4 linked regions of the Schizosaccharomyces pombe genome follow. The gene in region 3 interacts genetically with the main gene of each other region. Each region holds a gene or a part of one and is shown on either strand. Other genes may lie near its edges. The genes, in order: win1, wis1, mcs4 and cdc25.

The links.
Region 1: of mcs4 (region 3) and win1, changing one enhances a phenotype caused by changing the other (phenotypic enhancement), as found in Schizosaccharomyces pombe (one study listed by BioGRID).
Region 2: of mcs4 (region 3) and wis1, a mutation in one rescues a mutant of the other (synthetic rescue), as found in Schizosaccharomyces pombe (one study listed by BioGRID).
Region 4: mutations in mcs4 (region 3) and cdc25 are lethal when combined (synthetic lethality), as found in Schizosaccharomyces pombe (3 studies listed by BioGRID, with this or other methods).

What each region holds. Positions count from the first base shown.
Region 1 is NC_003424.3:5,088,259-5,095,411, reverse strand, and holds win1 (MAP kinase kinase kinase Win1), read right to left. Parts: upstream 5,597-7,153; 5' UTR 4,972-5,596; coding exon 661-4,971; 3' UTR 564-660; downstream 1-563. Other genes in the region: rpl3002 (60S ribosomal protein eL30), read left to right, coding at 111-201; Spg1-binding protein Etd1, read right to left, coding at 6,086-6,351, 6,414-7,153. UniProt on the Schizosaccharomyces pombe protein: Involved in a signal transduction pathway that is activated by changes in the osmolarity of the extracellular environment. Activates the wis1 MAP kinase kinase by phosphorylation.
Region 2 is NC_003423.3:1,143,231-1,148,456, forward strand, and holds wis1 (MAP kinase kinase Wis1), read right to left. Parts: upstream 3,374-5,226; 5' UTR 2,555-3,373; coding exon 737-2,554; 3' UTR 501-736; downstream 1-500. Other genes in the region: ubiquitin hydrolase Uch2, read left to right, coding at 1-43. UniProt on the Schizosaccharomyces pombe protein: Dosage-dependent regulator of mitosis with serine/ threonine protein kinase activity. May play a role in the integration of nutritional sensing with the control over entry into mitosis. It may interact with cdc25, wee1 and win1. May activate sty1.
Region 3 is NC_003423.3:3,555,191-3,559,698, reverse strand, and holds mcs4 (response regulator Mcs4), read right to left. Parts: upstream 2,612-4,508; 5' UTR 2,426-2,611; coding exon 857-2,425; 3' UTR 562-856; downstream 1-561. Other genes in the region: tRNA pseudouridine synthase Pus2, read right to left, coding at 1-303; leucine-rich repeat protein Sog2, read left to right, coding at 4,217-4,508. UniProt on the Schizosaccharomyces pombe protein: Response regulator that coordinately controls the stress activated wak1-wis1-sty1 MAP kinase pathway and fission yeast cell cycle.
Region 4 is NC_003424.3:478,664-483,948, forward strand, and holds cdc25 (protein tyrosine phosphatase (M phase inducer) Cdc25), read right to left. Parts: upstream 3,711-5,285; 5' UTR 3,623-3,710; exon of another isoform or gene 3,523-3,622; 5' UTR 2,878-3,522; coding exon 1,087-2,877; 3' UTR 565-1,086; downstream 1-564. Other genes in the region: DNA replication pre-initiation complex subunit Sld3, read right to left, coding at 1-33; hxk1 (hexokinase 1), read right to left, coding at 4,784-5,285.

The sequences.
Region 1 (7,153 bases), on a different chromosome or scaffold from region 3:
AGCAATTGATGTTGAGAAACACTGTTTAATGGCTAGCTTTTTGAAGCCTTTTTGATTTCGACAGAGATCTTAATTGGGAGTCGAATTTTGTTTTACTAACTGTTTTCAAGTATTGATTTAGGAACTGCATGTGGTAAATTATTTCGCGTCGGTGTATTAGCAGTTATTGATGCTGGCGATTCCGACATTCTTGCTGCTTAGGTAAAACTTATTAAAATTTTTAAAATCAATGTTATGGCAGATAAAATAAATCGGATTATTTTTATTGGATTTCCAAGTTTCTGGTAGAATCCAGGAACTCTTTAGCTTGACATATCTAAACAAATGTAAAAAATTCAGCATTAGGCTGATCTATCTTGTATATTAGCGTAACAATGAAACTCATCAATATATGCATTGTATTTACGTTTGATTGTTGTAGCAAGGTAATTTAATTAACGTCTCTTCCTAGCGCCGTAGTAAAAATGATTCTATGATAAAGTCACTTTTACACTCAACTAATTCAATAACGATTCATTTAATGAATACCGCATAGATTGCTACGAATACAAAACTTACAAAGTGTTTAGGACTTTATAATATTTCTCGTCTCTATTAATTAAGTATTAAATTAAAACCGTATCCAAAAAATAGTCATAAGGTGTAAAACATAGCAAACATCTAAAGTTCCAACGGAGCACCATTGGTAGAAGGCGCTGATTCGACTACGGATGAGTTCATAAGATCGAATTCCGTACCAGCCCGTAAGGGATACACCCATGGATCCATTAATAATTCGGCAGCTGTAGCGCGCTGATTGGGATCAGAAACAAAACAACGTTTGAGGAAATTTTGACCCAAAGGCGAAAGCTGATCATCTGCAGGAATAATAGGAGGATTATGTGCAGCAATGTGATACATCAAAGAAAAATGATTATCTAATCTAGGCCAAGGTGGGGAACCCGTAGCCATTTCAACAATAACACATCCAAGTGACCAAATATCCATAGCACCAACCCTTTCGGACGGATTACCAAGAATTAATTCTGGCGCCATATACGTAGGTGTTCCTGTCAAGGAGTAACCGCGATTTTGGTCTAGATGCTGCAAAAATTCCGAGTCTTTTTCAAACTCTTCCTCTTCTTGTTGTGTTAACTGTTCAAAAATTTTAGTTGAAGCAGAACCCGACATCTTGGCAGAACCAAAATCTGTAAATTTCATGATCCCGTTGTGATCAAAAAGGATATTCTCAGGCTTTACATCTTGATGTGAAACACCACAGGAGTGTATGTAAGCCAATCCTTCTAATAATTGTAGGACATAAACTTGAATTACCAATTCGTCCTCAATTCTACCGTAACGTAGAAATTCGAAAAGCGAAGAGCCTTGACAAAGTTCCATAAATATATTAACTTTTTCACGATGCACTTCGATACCATAATACGATACGACATTAGGATGATCAAAGAGTTCAAGTACTAACATTTCACCTTTAATCCTCTTGATCATCGGTCTAGATATACGAGGTTTATGCAATGCCACTTCTTTAACAGCCATTAAATCTCCTGTATCCAAGTTAACAGCACGATAAACCGTACCGAAAGAACCGCTACCTATAAGTCCACCCTGTTGCCATCGAATCGTGATATTAGATTTCGAAGAGGCTAGCTCTTTCAATAGCCTGTTCTCCTTTGTCGTATCATCCAAAACACGTCCAATGAGCTGGGACTTATAAAGTCGGTCCCTTCTATTACTTTCTAGTTCAATTATCCGATGCATAACCTCCTCCTTGACAAAGGAAGCCAACTCATTATCCGATAAACGACTTCGGTCGGAATTATTTCGAACAAGGCGAGCTGGTATATCTCCAGCTTGTTGGTCCATACTACGACCAGCATGTTTAGTACCCATAACATCAAAGTGCAAAAGTAATAATGCCACACATTTTCCAACCTTTTCTTTGAGTTCTTCAAATGATTTTTTATCAATCATTAAAATGTTCGAACCGTATGTCATAATCATTGCGAATTCTAAAGCCGTAACAGTCCAACGAAACGTATTTCTATCGGTAGGAGAACAATCCTCATAGATGAATCCAACCCAACTGATCGCCAGCTGTATCATTTTGCGACGAATCAGCCCAATGCTAGATGCGTCTAGGATCGAAAGCCTCATTAATCGTTGTGCAAATTCAATGGCGTAAGAAAAAGAATAATGAATTAGATTTTGGCAATTCATGCCATGGTACCTTGTACGAATTGTTTGTATCACATCAAGCAATGACAAAGCCAACTTCAAAGAATTTCGTTTAATTTTGGTCATTTGTTTGTTGATTTTGGATGAATTTGCTTTCGCAGAATCAACAAGTGAGACTGTGTCACCAACTATACTAATAAAATAATCTTCGATAACAGAGAGTTGATTAGCTGTCGCTAACGTTACTAAACGGACACAGTTAGGAGCAATGGAAATTGACACTTCCGGAATATCAAGATCTGTAACATGGCCGTTCCAACATATTGAGCTGTCTGGAGCCAATACAACCGCATATGGAGGTACACTTTCAAAATTATTATCTCCTTTATTAAAAGTCATTGAAAGTACCTCACGAAGTATATTAGGGGAATCAACTAGGTGTCCTGGAACAATTACGTATGCTCCTTCATGTTCGATACTCGCCGTATATGTCAAAACGTGATTTGATTCTTCAAGGCGTTGTATTAAAAGGGATAATGAATTCTCTTTAATAACGTACTCGCAAGAATTTTCCAAATGCGCTTTTAGTATACGAGTAAAACTCATCAATTTTCGGAAGCGAATTCTAACACAGTCAAGCACCTTGATATAAAATGAGGTGATCAATGCAGAGTCATCGGTATCGGGCCCCTGCAGCTGATCTTTTAGATACCTATTGATATTGGTCAATATTTCACCAACCAGCGAAGAAAGACTTTTAGACATAATTTGGAATCCGTGTTCGATGTGGGGACAAACAGCGAGCAGAAAATCCCATTCTCCTTCTAAAATTTCGGTTTCTTTGAAATGCAGCAAGGCACAGCCATTGCGAACCTTACGATGTAATAAATTGAAGTAAAATTTCAATGAGGCAACTAAAATATTGTTTAAGGACTGGTTTTCATCAACAAATTTGCTATCATCACGAAAAGGTTTGATTAGAACAGTGTGTTGTTGAATGATATGGACGGCAACTTTCATAGTGTTCCGAAGGTCATCTAGTAAAGAGTCAATCGTAAATAAAGAAATTGAGGTAATATTTTCTGCACATGATAAGCGAAGATTTAGGAACTCTTTGATTAACCTAAACGGAAAAGAAAGAAGACGCATGTAATCATCAGCAATAAGCGGCAAGCCATAACTTTTTAAATCATCCGCATATGTAACAATCGTATTACAAACTTTGCTTAATACGCTATTCATATTAGTCATGATTCTTTGCTCAAAAGCTCGAATCAAACCGGTTTCTCTATAAAAGCGCTCCACAAATGGTCCGTTTGAAATTTGAGAAACGTTATTAATAGAATTTGTAGTATTTTTGGTAATGTCCATTTCCTCATTACCAACCCACGAGCGAATAATGTTAACTTGAATTTCTAGCGCATGAGTGACATTAGAATAAGCCGTCAAGACATCCAACTTGTGCTGAAAAGATTCTGAAGCATATAATGAATGTTCCTGAAGGATAGAACGACGTGAAGGATATAAACGTTCATATTTATCAAGTTTTTGCAGCATGTTATCGACAGCAACAATAGGGGTTAATTCGTTGCTCTCATCCCAATGAAAATTCATAATGGCCAGTAGCACATCAACCATACCCGTACGAAGATGTTTTAAATTTTCTCTATAAGAATCAACGGAACGATGAGTAAGCCAACACCATATTTCCATCCACAAATTATCAGAATAATCACTATTTCGCCCTTCTCGAGAAGAAGCAATCTTTCTTAGCCGTAATTTTTCAGATCGGACTATATCACCAGTCAGAACTGAAGTCAACATATATTGCCATTCAAAACGTTCTTTGTTTTTTGGGTTAGCCATTAAATCATCAGAAAGTAAGGATGGGAGATTCAGAACAGATTGTACCCAATTTACAGTTGAAGTCTCAGAATCTAAATCCGAGTCCTCCTCATCATAAGTTTCATTAACATTAGAAAAGTAATAAGTTGAACTATCACGACGAATGCTTAGAGAAGGATCGTTATAATCATATTCTGGGTCAAAACACTTTAACGAACTACTCAGTCGTCTTAATTGAGATTTCCTCTCAGGATGATCTTCAATTTTAGCAAATGTTATAGAATTTCTTAGTTTGTGAGAACGCTTGGGCTTTTCTGGCAAATTTTTAGTTTTGCTTGGAACTGCTGTTGAATTTATGTGTTCAACATCAATCATTGGCGACGAAATAGAACGTCCTCTGTGCATATAATCGTCTTCCTTAATACCGGGAGACTTTATTATCCTATTTGAGCTAATACTACTTTGCAGACTAGGTCGGATAGGATGATCGAGGTTTGAATGACCAGCATTCTTAATTGGTATAGGAATGGAAGAGGAAGAAGTAGGAGGATGTAGTAGATTACTAGTATCGCTTGGACTTACGGCATAAGCACGATCTAATTCATCAATATTGATTGGGTCAACAGGGGTAGAAATAGTAAGGGCCTCGGCTGGAGGCTGTTCAGCCATTCTGAAAGCTTCTGAAAATAAGTCCTCTTTGGCGCTCGCCTTGGATCTATCACTTGAGCTACGCGCAACAGATGGCCTTCTGTGATTTTCTTCTTTTCCGTTGTTAGGAAGTTCAAGCATAGACGAGGTAAAACTTGAAAGTAAAGTCAAAGAGCGACGATGAGCCTTTTCAAATGTTTTATCACGCAATTCACTATCAAGAATTGGATTGATAGAAGATCGCCTTGAGCCATTTTCTAGTATATGTGAATTGACCACAGAAGGATCCAAAATATTTTCCATGTTTGTTGAGGAACAAATTTCGAATTGCTTCAGAAGTTATGTATAAAAAAGACCGTTATACCCAAATTTAAACCCAAAACGGGAAACAGATAAGTTTGGAATAGTGGCAAGTAGTAGTAGAATAATTGTTTACTGAAGTCAAAAATGGGAGTGGGTAATGAAAAAGTGGTTTACAGATGCAAGGAATGCCAACTCAGTGTAAGGAATTGTGCAGCGAAGTCAATGCAACTACTGTTATATGTAAAAATAAAAAATCCGAAGTTGACAAAGACAAATAACGATTGCAGGAATTACCAACCGAACAGAATTCAGGTTGTAAGTATATTAAAGTAATGCAGTCAAATTGAGGAACGTAGAGAGAGAGACACACACACACATCCAAAGCAATGGGTTTTCGAAAAGATACGGTAAATATTAATGAGCAGAAAAAAATGATAAAATATTAAATGTAGAAATTCGGCTTAAAAAATCGATAAAAGTGTTGTGTAAAAAAATTATACGAGCCGAAGAGCAGTAAAACTACCGCGTATAAATTGTTGAAAGAGCAATAATCAGTGAACTAAAAAGTCAATCCTCCTTGTAGAATATGTGGAATTGACAAAAAGAAAATTTATAGGTTTGCGGTGTGCAAAGGATAAACAACTAATTGTGGTCTAACCCCGTAGTATAGTATGAAGTGGGGTACTAGTTTTAAGGATTTTCAGTGCAATGAGGAATTTCTCACTAAATAGCAAAATCATAGATATGGGTTTTCAGGTATTTTTGATTTACATTCTTTTACTTTAATTTAATAAAATCTTTTTATCACAGAATAAAGGTTGGACTAATATTCACAAAAGACAAAACATCTGTCTAGTACTTTTTCCGAAATATTATTGCAAAATAGATTTATTAAAAAGAGAAAACGAAAGAAATTTACAATAAAACCAAAAGCTTCTTAAGATGCAGAAGTATAAAAAGGTTGTAATGGCCAGTTTCACCTTTACTTGCTATCCACCAATGCGAAACTGTTCTCACAATTATTGAAATTATCCTAAGCGAAATTTTGACACTTTGGATAACAAAATAGATACTTCCCATTCCATTAATGGATTAAATAGCCAAAAAGAGAAACTCAGTGTAATAATAGTTGGAGTTGGGACATTAAATAATGCACATGATCGTTTAGCCCTGGTAGCATGGACGCATCGAAATCTAATGAAGAATCCCCTTCCAACTTAACTTTATATTTTGATAAAATGTTTTGCGCGTCCTCATCCTTTAAATCAGAATAATTTGCAGGATCCGCTAACCGTAGAATAGCCTTAGCCTCTCCTAAAATCTCTGAGTCCTTGTCGTAAATATCTTTGGAATTTGCCTTTTCGTAAAGATCTTTTAAGTCTATTTGTGTTTTTAGTTAGCAGCGGTTAAAACTAAAGCATTACAACACATGAATGTCTTACCTTTGATGGATCTCGTAAATTCCTTCACCTCAAAAAGCTGTTCTCGAACGGTGTGTCCTGCACTGTTTACCGTTTCGGGAATTATCAATGGACTATCGAATTTCACATTAAAGTCCTGCTCCCAATCTGAATCCGCATCGTCCGCAAATAAATCGCAACGAGATGAAAATCGAATATCCGATGAATCGTTATTTATATGAGTCGTTTGCGTATTGTCTTGAATGATAGGTTCCGACACTTTCGACGACTCTGGCGAAGTAGTCGATAACTCGTCCCAGCAAATACCATCCGAACTCTCATCTTCTTGCGTAGTCGCACCCAAAGAAGTTTCTTGGATTTGCTTAGCTAATTCATTTATCCGAAAGGAATCTGTCTCATTATCATCATGAAGCTCACCTTCAATAAATCCATTAACTGAAGGTAGTTCAGCACCTACACCACTAGCCTTGCTCCCTTTATTGGCCGAATTAAATTCATTACTTAACGCAGTTTTTTTACAGTTGCCTTTGTTTATCTCATTCGCCGTAAAGTGAGACAACGACGTACTGTCTGCACCTGAAGCGTTGCGTTGTACAGTACTTTTTGACTCAACTCCTATGAATGAAAAAATTCGTTTAGAAAATTTTCGGGAGTAACTTCTTAAGCTTTCAAATGCTGAGGGTTTCCTCCATGAGCCTTGATCTATGCATTCGGAGGTGTTAACTTCTTTCGGTAATCCAAGCTGTTTAGGGCGCCTCGGT
Region 2 (5,226 bases), 2.4 Mb from region 3:
TGAAACTGCAAAAGCGAAATACGCATCTCAAAAGCGACCGTAATATATTACGGCGTTCTTTCTCAAAAAATATTCCACTATGAAGGAATTTTCATTTCCAGGATAAAAATCTGTTATGACTCTAGATTACCTTGTTGGACTTATGTTGGGAGAATTTGTTTCTTTGATATATAAAAGTCTCGTACTTTTTAAATAAATGAATACCTCAAATCTCTTTGAGTAATATATTAATAGTTTAAGTAATTATTATTAGGTCGATATAATATCTATTAACACTTGCATTTACGATGGATTCAATCTCTCTAAGTAATCACCATTGTAGGAAACAGGAGATCATAGTAGCTAAAACGACGGAGCCAGTCAACGAAGTTTTAAAAGAAATAAATTAATACAGTACAAGTAACTTTTACAATTGCAAACTTTCGTTTGCACTTCTAAAGCCCCTTAGTTAAATAAAAAAAAAGTTTTTTATGGTGGACGTAAATGCCTTAAACAAATGTAATAACACATTAAATACCCGTTTTAATTTAAAGCAAAAATGCAAACATCAACTACCGTTATACGGAATCATACCCAAATTATTAAATTTATGAAAAAGCACAAATGCAAAATAGCGTCGGTTCTGCTGAAACATAATTATGGATCACGTAATAGTCATGCATTCGAAATTAAAGACAAACACCAATGCGCATGGGTACTTTAAAACAGAGCAGGCAATTAGAAAGCAGGCGAACCTTTAGCTTCTTTTTTCACCTTTCTCTTTAAGAGCGCCTTTTGCCCATGAAGCCATGTCCACATCTGCATTTTGATATTTTAACAACCATGGATGGTTAGCCAACTCATGATAATCGGGACGCAAAGACGGGTTTTTATTCAAACACTTGTTTACAAAATCACGAGCTTCGGGAGAAAATGAATCGGGGAGAGAAGGTGGATCGCCATCGCAAATCGCCGATAGTTGTGCAAATATTGAAGTATATGATTCAGGTGGATACGGATAAGCTCCTAAAGCCATTTCTAAAATGGTAAGGCCTAGAGACCACACATCAGCCTGTACGGTGTAAGTCAAGACGCCATTGGTAGGTCCACCAACACGAATTCTTTCAGGAGCCATGTAAGATTGACATCCAATGTTCGTTTTGGATATAGAAGCCACAAGATTCCCACTCACGCCAAAGTCACATAACTTAACCTGGCCATTAGAATTTACCAAAACATTAGTAGGTTTAACGTCACGATGAATGATATTATGCTCCTCTTTCAAAGTTTTGAGGCCTTGCACTACAGCATAAGCAGTTCTAGCTAAAACTCCTTCGTCTTTGATACCACCAGCATACAGTTTGTCCATGCTACCAGCATCCATATATTCCATACAAATAAAAACAGAACCTTCCACAAAAAAGGCACCATAAAAGTCAACGATATAAGGACTAACTGCTTTATGTAAAATATCCAATTCCATTATAATTTGATTAAATGTTGCTTCTTCTAAGGACAACCTAATTTCCTTCAAGGCCATAGTGACACCAGTCGGTTGATGCAATGCTTTATACACAACACCATAGTTACCTTTTCCAAGTTCTTCAAGCTTAATAATCTCTGACATATTAATACGAAACGAAGAGCCAGATGAAAAGTTAACACCTTCTGAATTTAACACGGCTTTGTTTTTAAAATTTAAGGTGCCTGATTTTGCATCCAAAATATCCGAAAATGTGGAAAAAGGGGTTTCCGAAACAGCCTGTTTAAGGGTGGGAGGAATGTTTAGGCCACGGCGAGAAGCCATGCTAGACGGACTGACAGGGCTGGTGGGATTGGAATTGGATAAATCGAGTTTTCCAGGTGGTGCACGACGGATTCTCGTTTGTCGATTGAAGGACGTTGGACGGTTGAGTAAAGGATTCCTAGCAGCAGCAAGTGATTTTGCAAGCCCGGACTCTGGCATATTCGGAGACTTTACGGGCGAATTACTTAATCGACCAGCAAGTTGAGAGTTAGGCAAAGGATAACTTCCTCGTTGACCCATACCGACAATAGGGGTAGTTGGACTACTGATCTTGTTGACTACTTCCGGCATTGATTTTGATCTAGATGCATGGAAGGCCTTCAATTTCTCCTGTATATCAGTTGAAAGTCCTCCAGGAAATGGGCCCGGTGGAGTAGGAGGAGATCCAATATTGTTCTGACCAGCTGCTGTAGGAAGTGAACGTCTAGGTTTTTCCGAAGGATCCTTCATGTCAAGGTTAAGAGAGTTACGACTCCGACTGGACGTAGATCTGCCAAGTCTGACCGTAGGCACGGCACGGGGAAGAGGGGGATCGGAAGGTATTTCACGACTAGGAGAAGAAACCTTTGAGTCATTGTCACTGCCACTACTGTTAGAATTTAAAGACAAGGAACCCAAGGAAGAACCAGAAGAATCGGTGTTTGAAGAACTTGAAGACGAAAGAGAAAGGAGCGAGCCGGGAGTACCAACATCACCGGGAGGTGCGGTAGGAGAAATAGACAGCTGTCTCAATGAGCAAGACAAGGGTTGATTATTTGGAGAAGACATATAAAATAAATGTGCTTCACAAACTTAAAAAAAAAGAAAAAAAAATTAGGTAAACTAAATTCCGGTAATATAAATGAAGCAAAAGTGAAGATGAACGAAAGTGAGATGGCAATACAAAAAAGGTATCTTGGGTGAAAAGAACAATTAAAATTAGACAATCAATTACGAGTCGTCTCCGACGAAGAAGGAAAAAAAAAGCGGTGGTCTAAAAAGTCCGCAGGAAGGATATTCCAAGAAAAAAAAAGGAAGTTTAAAGGCAATCACCTACGAGTAGCTTTGTGTAGGTAAATGCCACGGAAAAAAAGGAGGTTTGGAAGGGTTTAAATTTAACAGCAAAAGCCAGAAACTGGAAGAAACAGGGGCTTAGATAATAAATTTCCCAAGGAGAACTAAAGAAAAAAAAGTAAAAAGGTGTGGGTTAATCTTAGTCCGAGAAGTCAATACTTTAAAACCGAGTTATGACCGACGAGTAAGGAGGCAAAGGTAAGGAGAAAAAGTAATAATTCACAAACACGAAATAAAAAGGAAAGAAATTTGAAATTATCTTTCTAAAAGATAACACGTAAGGGTGTGGAAGGAAGAGAAAAAATTCAGAAACGCTTTTCTCTTACAGTAAAGAGCAAAAAAAATTCTGCTCTTTAAAGGAAATGGGAAAATTTAGGGAGGGTGATAAAATAGGAAGTGTAGTCGGTACGATGTAAATAAGATATACACGTCGAAAGGGAATGCTTGAGAGATTAGGAATCCCAGCTATCGCCAGCCGGCTGGGGTATGTTTGGGTATACAAGAAGGTGGAATGGGATGGAGTTGGTGAAGGATAAAAGGATAACGAAAGTCAGACAACACGTTGCTTAATCTTAAGGAGAAACTTTTGCACGTTAGCTTACGTATCAGTATATAAGGATAACGTGGATAAAAAAATGTTTCATCAAAACAAGGGATGGTTAAGGGATACAATCAAATTTGTAAAATCAAAATAACGTGAAGCCAAATAATATGCTGCAGATCTCCGTATAAGCGTAACGACCTGTATGAATCATTCGACAAGATTTCTAACAAGGTATCCTGAGATTTATATGCAAATGGAAAGAATGTACGGCAGAAATAGCTGGTAAGAAATACCTCGATGGATTAATGGGAAAGCACAGGATGATTGGGTAAAATGCTCAACGTATAGAGAATAATACATAGAAGTAAAGAAAAACAGAAAAAAAAAGGGCCGAAAAATATTTTAATGGAAGATAAACACAACGATTTATCGGTCTTGACAGAAGGAATTGAATTGTCCGATAGATATGGTAGTGTTTGATTAGAAAAGAATAAAGAATAAATAAATAAAAACAAAAATAATTAATGATTAGGTGCATAGGGCTTTAAGTTTCAAAGCTGGTATTCGAATGTCAATGTATACTAAGAAAAATCATGATCCAAGGTAAAATGTATAACCAAATAAATAAGAGAAATATAACTAACCTAGTAGCTTCCGTCCTTGAGAGCGATAAAAAAAAGCGAGTTAACGCACAAGTGTTTCGAAAAGGTGTAGTAATGTATAATAAAACATTTTTTAATAATCGTTAAAAGGTTCAGCAAGTGGAATGAAGAGAGTGTGTTATTTGTGCTCTAGAAGCAGCGTAAAAAAAAATTTATTTATTTTTAAATTTTTTTTTTTTTTCTAATTTTTTTAAATTTCTTTTGTTTAAGGAAACACACAAAAATAATGTAAGAGTAGCAGCAAAACTGCTAGGAACATTTTGTTCTATGGAAAAAGACACTGAAGTGAAAAGTGCAACGAAGGGGTAGAACTTTCGTAGGAAGGAAAAACAAGCAAAGAGAAAAAAATTTACAAAAGTTCCTAGATCACTCCATCTATATGCAAATGCATAATGTACGGTGTATGCTCGAACAAAGTAGAAAGGGGGCTATAAAAACGATTTGAGGATAATCCTTTATTAATGAGAAAAAATTTGGAACGTCTAGTTTTGCGCCAACATCAAGGGAAGACAAAAAAAATTTTCATTAAAACAGACTCAATAATGTTCAATTGAGATAGAAGAATACAGAAAGAGTCGAATGATTGAACATGTGGTGAAAAAGGCTGAAGATGAAACTAGATAGAAAGAGGCTGTATTCCCAACATCCAAAAATGAGGAAAAACTAAAGAAGAGAAGGAAAGTGGAATAAAATGAAGAAATTAAAAGAGAAAATCATACGATGAAACTGAGAAGAAGAAGAAGGCATTTTATTTTAATTTTATTAATTTTATTAGATTTCATTTCGTTTGACGCTTTACGGTTTCATGAAATGCCAAATTGCTAATTCTTTATTAGATTTTGGAGTATTTTCATTGTTAGTCTGCGAGTATTTTCATTATTAGTTTGTATTTAAAAAGTTTCATCGTATGTTTCTATAGATGCGTTTTTTTTTACATTATTTGAATTGAATGAAGAATTGATTTGCTATAAGAGAAATTTTTGACTTGGTATGGTTGCTGGCTGGCACCCACGGCTGCGTATGCCACATACCATACAATAGTAGACTAAGACGACTGTACATACGAATGGTAGTTGTTTTTTGGGGAAAGGAAAAAGGAATTCTTTGATAGTTAGAATGAATAAAAGGGTAGCGCTTATAATACACTGAGTAGAGAAAGAAAAGCGTGAAAAGATGACTGA
Region 3 (4,508 bases):
ATGGACCCCTTTGTCTGTTCTAGCTGCTCGCGCAATACACAAATGTTCAGCATCAATGTTATTTGTTTTTAAATAGCCCAATTTTTTAAGTACAGCTACAACATCTCCTTCAATTGTTTTAAGGGGATTATTTATTTGAATCCCATGGTAACCATAACCAGAATATCCCAATAAAATGATGATACGAACTTTGTTAGATTCTTTTGTGCCCTCGATTTTTTCTCGCTTTGGTAATTTTGGTGTTTCTAGATCCTCTGCGGGTATATGCTCCTGTTGATTTTTTCTTTTCGAGATAGAAGTCATTTTTTATAAAACAAATCTTCTAAAAAAATTTAAAGAAAAAAAAAACACCACAGTTTACTATTAATTACAAAAACGTATTAAAACAAAAGACACAGAAAATATTGGTGTTTAAGTGTGGTATGGACGCAATCAAGAATGATGCACACGAGATTGAAATACGCTCATTTTTTAGCGACATATTAAAAGTCTTTACAACTAAAATATTAGATACGAAAATAAGATATCCTACTTTATTATCTTTGTAGATGAATAACGAAATTTTGGAGTTTTAATGTACAACATAATATTAGGTAAATCAGAAAGTGTTTAGTTATAAGGATAACACAATTAGCAATAAGTATCTATGACAAGCTGATCCATTAATAATTAAGGCAGGTAATTAGGTAAAGGAAAAGAGGAAATTATTTTGCTAGCAAACCATAGCGTCCGACAAATTGATAACCAAAAGATTAATTTTATACAATAAAAGATTACGGAAATAAAATGAGCGGAGCTCGACTTATTGTGGTGAACAGAACAAAACACAGTGATACAAAATTTGGTAAGGCTAATATCATCGACCGCGAAAACGGCACCAACCATTCCAATCAATAAGCGCTTGCATACAGCCCCACTCCGTAATTTTTTTCTCTAGCCAAACTAAAGAGACAGGCTTTGTAAGAAAATCATTGCAACCAGCAGCTAAAGCCTCGTTTCGATCAGCCATTAGGCTAGAAGCAGTAAGTGCCACTATAATCACAGGAGATTGAAATTTGTTTTCATTTAGCTGATCCTTTTCAGGTATCGGTTGTGTCAATTTTGGAGCACCAACTCCAATTGCGTTTAACCGCTCAAGTCTCCTAATTTCTTGGGTGACTTCAATACCGGACATCGTGGGAAGTTGGATGTCCATTAGAATCAAGTGAAAAGATTTCTTTTTCCACTTCTCGAGTGCTTCAAGCCCATCTTTAGCAACCTCCGAGGAAATATTGCGCTTCTTCATAAAAGTCTCTAGGATTTTTTGATTAATAATATTATCTTCAACAATCAAAACGTTAATTGGAGGAATCACTCCTTCAAGTAGACTAGCAAAAGGTGCTTTCGCACCTATGCCGGGACTTGTTAGAACATTGACTGGTGAAGTACCAACAATTCCATCTATTTGATTAGAAGGAAATCCTAAATGGGCTTGTGTATCAGCATTTAAGGGATCTTTGTTGTCTGCTATAGGAAATTGAGAACTGATATCAGGGTTCATCCTATTTGCTGCGTCAATATCAGCATTAACCGCGGGAAGGACTCCTGCGGTACCAGATTGTTTCGTATAAAGCGATGAATGACTAATACTTCTACTATTAGTGGGTGTCGCGACTTCGGCTTTCGCCAATTTTTCAGCTGTTGATTCATCAGACCGAGTCGACATTCCAATAGAATTTTTTCTAGTAATGGATTCGGCTTCGTCTGATGGTTGCGACTTGTCAGCTGAAGTTAGATCTGGTAAAGAGGGTCTTGAAGCCAATGTTTGCTGTCTAGAAGAACGAGGCAAAAGTAGTACGCCAGTTTTATTTACATTAGAGGAAGGAAGAGTTTGATGGGACCTAGTTCGGGATGCATTTCGTAAATTATAATTTAAAGGACCTCCTTTATAAGAATAAGTACTTTGATGTCGTGAAGGGGCAGAAACCGGGCTCTCAAGTGAATCAAGAGCAATGGATGGCTGTTTGATACGCGGGACTGTTTCGTTCGCTGGGGTAGGGATTATGTTAGGTGGGTATTCAGAAAAAACGGGAGGTGTTGATTCAAATGTAGAGGATGAGAGTTGAGAAGAGCGATATCTTAAGGCAACTGAGGTATCCGGCGACGCTACTAGAAGCGCGTCGTTAAAATCCTGACCATGAGGATAATAAGTTTCCATGACAAATAATATGCTTTCGTTGGGACTGAGTTCTCTAGATTGCAACTCCGATGATGCATTTGGTGGAGCTACTACACGAATCGAAAGCTCAGGTGCATCATAATACTGACTGATACGAATAGGGAATTTCCGAGCGATGGCATCTTTTAAATCGTCAACCAGATGATCTTCAGACAATATAACGGAGGAAGTAATCCCATCTGGAACTTTTTTAAACCAAATGCGCATCTTCTATATATCTTCTTTCTTTTGACTTAACCTCAACTTTCCTATATACAGTATGAACAACCAAAACAGCCGCCTGTTTTTACGTTTAACATTCGATAGCTTCTTGTATAATCCCCTTCTATTTTAAATTTAATAGAAATATACAAGTATAAAATCACTGTTCGTGATAAGGAATGAGTAAGGTATGGTTCACGATACAATACGGCAAGCCTACTTAAGGTGTTGAGTTTCGTTACCTAGTCGTGCAACAAGCGCTGGGGATTTAGTAGAGTACTTAGAGTAACACCTTCCATCTGAGGACAAAAATCGAATAAATTTTAACACGTGAAAATAATAGGCACAGCTAAAACTGCGATTGTAAATTATACATTCTACGATACGAGCAAATAAGTATTCGTTTAAAAGGGATACTGTTGTGTTATTGACTTACTATTAGAATTCGACATTACTAAAATTTAACTAATTGAGTAATTGTTTCTGAAATTTATTCCTTATTTTAGATTTTATTTAAAGTATGTAGTTTAAAAAAAAAAAAAATTAAACGTTATACCCATACTTAGTTGGCTACCATTAATGGTCCTATTACTACTTGTCAGGTTTGGATATTTAATGACTCAGATTAAATGATTTAATCAACACAAACCAATATTTTTGAAATTCAAAAATAATGAGGCTTCAATTTCTCAATGAGAAACCAAAAAAAATTATTTTAGATAGTAACCCATTTAGTCATAGAAAAAAAAACCGTGTTTGATTATATGTACAATTTATCAACTCATTTATTTTTATCAGGTTCTTAAATCATAATGATAAACCTAGGCGATTCTATTAGGAAGCAATATATTAAGGACTAATAAAATAAACAATAAATATTAATGATTAGGAAATCAAACGCACCAAGATAATCAAATTGATAAACAAACTATAGATAAATGACAGAAATATTGAATCAACAAAATTGCAACTCATTCAAAAAGTTATCAATTTACACTTAAAGAATTATTTACCACAAAACATACTGTAGCGTTAGCATTTGTTGCTCCTGTTAATAACGACTTCTGATCTCGATGAACTCAAAAAGTTCGAACCAACATAATATAGCGAGTGCTTTTGATCATTCAAGAATTAGAAATGAATGCTAACAATACTACATTACAATTACGAATTACTATATGTCACATGTTCTGATTACCTATCGTCTTACAAATGATAACAATACGATGTAGATCCACTAATAAATTTTTTAATTTATTAGCTAGAAATGATAGATGTAAAATCAAAGGAACAACGTTCTTTAGTTCAGCTGTGGTGGTTTGTTTAGAGATAAATTACATTACCGCCTTCATACAAGGATATCCGTAACCCCCGTTATCATACAACCATATGTACCGCTATGTAGTGCACATACGAAAATCAAGTAGTCTAACATATCATTAATGATAATTACGAACTGCATAGCTAAAAAAAATAAAACGCAATATCAAACTTAACGAAAATATTTTGTGTAAACGTTAATAAACTGTAATTATTTTAAGGAAAAGTGCTTATTCACGTTGTTAAAATAAAAAAGTACAACCTACAGATGCGTACACAGAAAGAAGTGAGTTTATTCGTTCCGCGAACTAGCTTGGCAGTAAATTTTGGGGAATTGACTTTTGTACATTATAGCATACCATTGTGGATCAATTTTATGTTCATTGCATTTTTTTAGTAATTATTACTTCTTAGAGTTCCTTTTTTTTTCAACAAAACCTTCGGATTTACGTCTGAGGTGATCGATCTTTTCATGCTATGTCTGCTCATGAGGTGTCCTCCACAAAAAACTCAGAAATTGAAAGAATTATTAAAGAGGCAGAAGATGCGGGTCCTGAAAATGCACTTACGTTAGATCTATCTCATCTAAACTTGCGGGAATTACCTTATGAACAATTGGAAAGAATCCAGGGTCGGATAGCGAGACTAGCGCTAGGCCATAACTTTATAAAGAGTATTGGTCCTGAAATCCTAAAGTTTACTCGTCTCCGGTACCTAAATATTAGATCGAATGTCCTTAGAGAGTTTCCCGAATCTTTGTGTCGACTTG
Region 4 (5,285 bases), on a different chromosome or scaffold from region 3:
AAATGATTTCTTGGAAGCATGGTCGTTATTCATAAAGATACCAAAATCTTTAAATTAGTGTACCTAAAAAGATTTGTTTGTTTGAACATTAAGTGCTCTGCAAACTTTCATACTTAAACAATTCGTTATTTATGATTACGAGGTTTATCCTACAATGTATTAAATACAATCGTTGGCGTTCAAAGCTGCACTTCATAGGGCGTTGATGTCATAATCAATAAAATTCATATAAGCGAATTTAAGGTTGACTTAGATGACGACATTCTGATTGTTGCAAATAAAAAGTAAACAAAACAAAATCTACAAATATCTTCAAATTTTAAAAAAGCACACATATGATTCACTTTCTCAACGGAACATGTTTAAATTTTTACCAAAAAAGTAGTATTGATTAAAAATTTTCGTAATTTTTTTTTTGGGAAGGTACTTAAGTGTGAATGTCCAACTTCCGCATTGTAACTATTTTATATCACATAAAACTTCGTAACTCTCTGGTGAACTTAACCTTCCATTGGAAAGGGTAAGCTACAATACTACCGCTTACAGAACATGCATAAAAGGAAGTGATTTAAAAATAAAAGTTTTATTCGTTTTCTACTTAAATATTTCCATCAGAGATGGTTAGGTAGAGTTACAAAAACGTAAGCAACTCAGTTCCTATCGCATTACTGCTTCAATCAAAGAATGCTAAATTCTTAGCATTCCTATCAACAGCAATTGCGAGAAGAGCAATTAGAATGGACTTCGGTACGTATGTTTACCCGTGATTGCTTAGAAATTATTAAGCTCAATTGATTATAAAATAATCAATTATTAAACCAAAATCCATGCGTAATAATAATAACCAAACTAGTCGTTCTAGATATTTAGTCGTAAAAGTGATGTACTTCGAAAAGTTTAGCCAGTTTAAATTTTTTGTTGTCGAGACCTTTTAAAAGGTATATTGCTTTCTTTCAATAATAATAATAAAAAATAGAAATAAAAGGTTTCATGATTCAAAGTTTATAGAAAAAACTTAGGTTTAGAAAGTTGAATATATAAGAGTATACTTCAGGCTAGGTAAAGTATTGAGTCAGCCTAAAATCATTAAAATCTTCTAAGTGTAGAGAGGGAATGCATGGCAGTAGGAGAATCATTAACGTCTGGGGAAGCTAACACACTTTGGCCAAAAGTATAACTTTTAGTACGCATAAAAGTAGCGTTTCGTTTGAAATTATTCATAGCCTTGGTGCAGGTCATAACATGCGAAGCATCGTTCATCGGAACGTAGTTAATTGGGTCACAACGGTTTTTGTGGTTTTCGTAAAACGACTTGTAACCACCATGAAGTATATAAACCTCGGGATAGTAAAGGAAAGGATAACGATGACTATTCATTCGTCTGTCGGTATTTCGAAAGTGCAATGCCAAATGAGGTGCTCTGTGCGCACTATGTTCACAATGAAAAACAAGTGCAACCCGATGAGTAAGAGGTTTACTTAAAAAGGCATCCACAATAGCTTGTTTCGTATTTAAATTCACAGCAGTGCTAATATGGCCCCCAAGGTATTCATATTCAAAACGGCAATCAATAATGATGCATTTGTCAAAAATATCCTTAAATTTACCATCTAATAGACCGAGCAATGTTTCTTGGGTAATTCGTTTCAATGAGTCCTCCTTCACGGCGAAGCAAGGAAGAGATAAATCCTCGACATGAGAAGAGATGAAGCGCTCACTTTCTTTGGTCGATTGTTTTGGCGTAACGCACACAAGATCTTGGCTTTTGAAAAGCCCTAGTCTTGTGGAATTGAGAAACATGCTTTGGGTACGACGAAGCACTGGTGTATCTTGCTCATCATATTCCGCATCTTCTTGCATAGCGAATGCCATCGGAGAAGGGGACCTAACTTTCAAGCTAGGAAAGGCAATATCTTTATTTATCTTGGGTAACATATCAATAGGTTTAATGGGTGAAGCTTGAAAAAGATCATCTAAAGAATTATCATTGCAAGCACCAAAATCACTGTTGGGACGTTGAATAGAGGCAGCGTCTTCAACAAGTTCAACAGAGCTTTCTGGTAAATCAGCAACCTTGCCCATCGTAAATGTATCCTCATGATCAGACATTAATTCGAAATCATCCGTATCATCAGTAAGACAACTTTCAAGTAAGCTGGTCGTGTTGCTCGACTGACTACAGGTACGGGATAAGGCATAAGTCAAATGGCGGGTAGCTTGTCCACCAGAAGTTCCCTTCTTTTTGTTAATGGAATATGAGGAACTCGATCTGGATCGCAAAAATGGGGGTGCGTTGCCTGATGATCGAGAACGTGAGACGTTAGGACGAAGGTAGGAATCAAAAGAAGAACTCGATAATGACGAACGAGTAGCTTCGCTTTTGGTGGTGTTTAATGCGATTGATGCTTTAGGCTTAAAGCTGTAAGCAATAGTGCTGGAAACACGTGGGGAATCTTGGGTAATGGAATACTTCGATGCAGGTTGCCGGAAGAAGTAGGACTCGGTTAAAGCGTCATTCGAGGGTGACTCCGGGAGAGGTGAAACAATAGTCTTGTTAGCGAGAGGGGTTTCTACAGTACAAGAAAGAGATCGAAAGAGCGTACGACGAGGAGTCGGTAAGGCAGGGCTTTCATCGATATGCATGTTCATTGACATATCAGCAGCTAAGGAAGATGCAGGTGAAGCTGTCGAACAAGTTTTTCCAAAAGGATCCACTAATGTTGAGGCAATGTGTTTGGATTTCGGGAAGAAAAAATCCAGCTCTTGATTTGCATTGCGATCCGACATCAACTTTAATTCACGGGCAGCAGGACGCAATACATTCCGTTTGCCAGATAGAGTGTTGGTAAAGGAAAGTGAAGAAAGCGGAGAATCCATTTTAGTTGAGGTTTAACTATTATTAAAAGCAGACAAAATGGTAAATTTAATTTAAACCAAGTACACTGCAAAAAGAACTAATGGGACGACACGACTGCAAAAGATTGAGTTTCAGAATGAGAAATCAATAGAGCAAGTAAGATAAATTATAAAGGAAAATCCTAGGGAAGAGTCAAAAGACCGGTTTAAGATATTAATGCCAAAGTGAGACAAAAAGAAAACTAAAAGAAAGACAGGATGAAAGCAATATAGCCAAATATTAAACAAAACCAACCTTTACAAAAGAAACCGGAAAGAAGTTTAAGTAAGTTTAGACTCCACACGACGGGAAGACCGAATAAAAGTATATAAAAAAAAAGAGATTAATGAGACAAAAATAGATGAGCACCAACGGTCACGACTATAATATAGAATATAAAAGATACTGTCGTTGAAAGAAAAAATGAAAGAAAAAAGAAAGTTAAAAGAAAGCAGTTGATTAATATGAAAACAACAGAATACCCAAAAGTTCAGACTCAAAGTTCGTTACAAGTAATAAACCCCCCACTTTACCATATAAAGGCTTCTTGAACAAATAACTTCAAGAATCCTATTAATTGCCTTAAAAAGCGTAAGCAATTGTATTATAGACGTTTCAAAAAATCACTGAACCAGCAGTTAGTACTTGAGAAGCATCAACAGGAATCCAACTTGAGGAGAGAAGGATGCCCGAAACTAACAGGCATCAAGTTCTTTTTAAACTTACAACTTTGGTATTCTTAAGAATAATATTTTCAATGTAATACACTTGATCTAAAGGAGAAGAGCTTGAAGCGCTGTAGATAGTTGAGGGTAGAGAGAAATCTCAGCTCTGCCTCCGAGAGGAAAAAAAAGCAAAGGTAACAACAACAATAAAACACCAACCAACAAATTCGAGTAACAGAAAACAATAATAAAAACAAATACATGATTAAAGCAAAGTTAAACTGTAAGCTGTAATACTTAGCCAACACCTCAGCCATGACAACTATTGTTGTATAGTTTAGTTGCGTAGATAATGCCGTTTCAAGCTACAATATGTCACCTCTTAATCTATTAATTATATAAAAGCAAATAATCATTTCATTAACAACATTGAACTAGATGAAAACACATAAATTTTTGCATCTTGTATGTTTGTTTACATGTCCATACATCTCAGCTATTCGATCCACCGCAGTTTGTCTGATTTGTTGCCCTAGCAACGCCAAATGTTGTGTATGTGTAAACAAATACATAAGAACAAACGTCAGGTAACCTGCTTGACAGCCATTAAATCCCCATAATCTCATACCCGCACTCCTGATATGTAACACGAGCAGCGAGATAAAATATGTTATCAGGTGTTAGCGAATAATCGTAACACGATGAATCTCTCTACTTCGGGACTCGGACTGTCATTCCGAATTGGAAAACGAGGGTGTAACTCATTGAAAGTCTCCCGATGTTATGTAGCTATGGGTTGATACCATTATTGTCGTAGTAGGCATATTTCGCAAGATAGTATAGCCAGTTGTCTTGTTAAACTCGGATATCTTCAACAAAGATACCGCTATTATTACACTTCAACATACAAAATATAACAAAACTCTAACCTTTATTTAAAGTATTCTAGCAATCAGAGGCAGATATCGTATCCACAGAAACACTAGAGCAAAAAAGAAAATATTTTATCAGGTGGAGCACCTTTTTGTAAAAACGCCCTGATACGTGATTAGTAGACAAAGAAAAGTGTAACCATAAAAATTGCTGGAACAAATTGTACGCAAAAAGATGGAGTATGAAACAAATAAAAAGTGCAGTATAAAACAGTTTGTCGAACACTTCGTGGAGTTCAGTGACACAAAATCAAATGAGTATCCGTAAAACCTAAAAACAATGAGTGGACTTAATTCTTAAGATGCTCGGCAAGAATATCAGAAGTGAGGGCCTTGCCTTTGGCTTCAAGAGCACTGACCAATGCAGCACCTACGCCACTACCGTCTTCGGCGGGGATGGTAACAACTTTGCTGCCAATTTCCTCACCAAGGATATCCTTAAATGCTTGAGCAAGACGATCCTTAAAACGAGGGTATAAGTTGTAGACACTACCATCAGTACCTACAATCATAGATGGCTTATTCATTTTACGAACAAGGGCGCATACACCACACGCAGAAAGACGGGCAGAACGAGTTCCAATCAATTCGCATGCACGACGAATGAATTGACGCTCTTCTTCGGTGGTCTTGAGACCATAGGTTTCCTCAAATAGGGTTTGAGTTTCATCAAGGTTCTCAAAGGGGTCAACTTCAATAGCGCTGAGCACAGAGGTATCCATGGCCAAGGGGTCACGAATCTTGGTAACGTCCTGACCGTTAAAGAGAGCTCCCTGTTCATAAAGGTCAAGA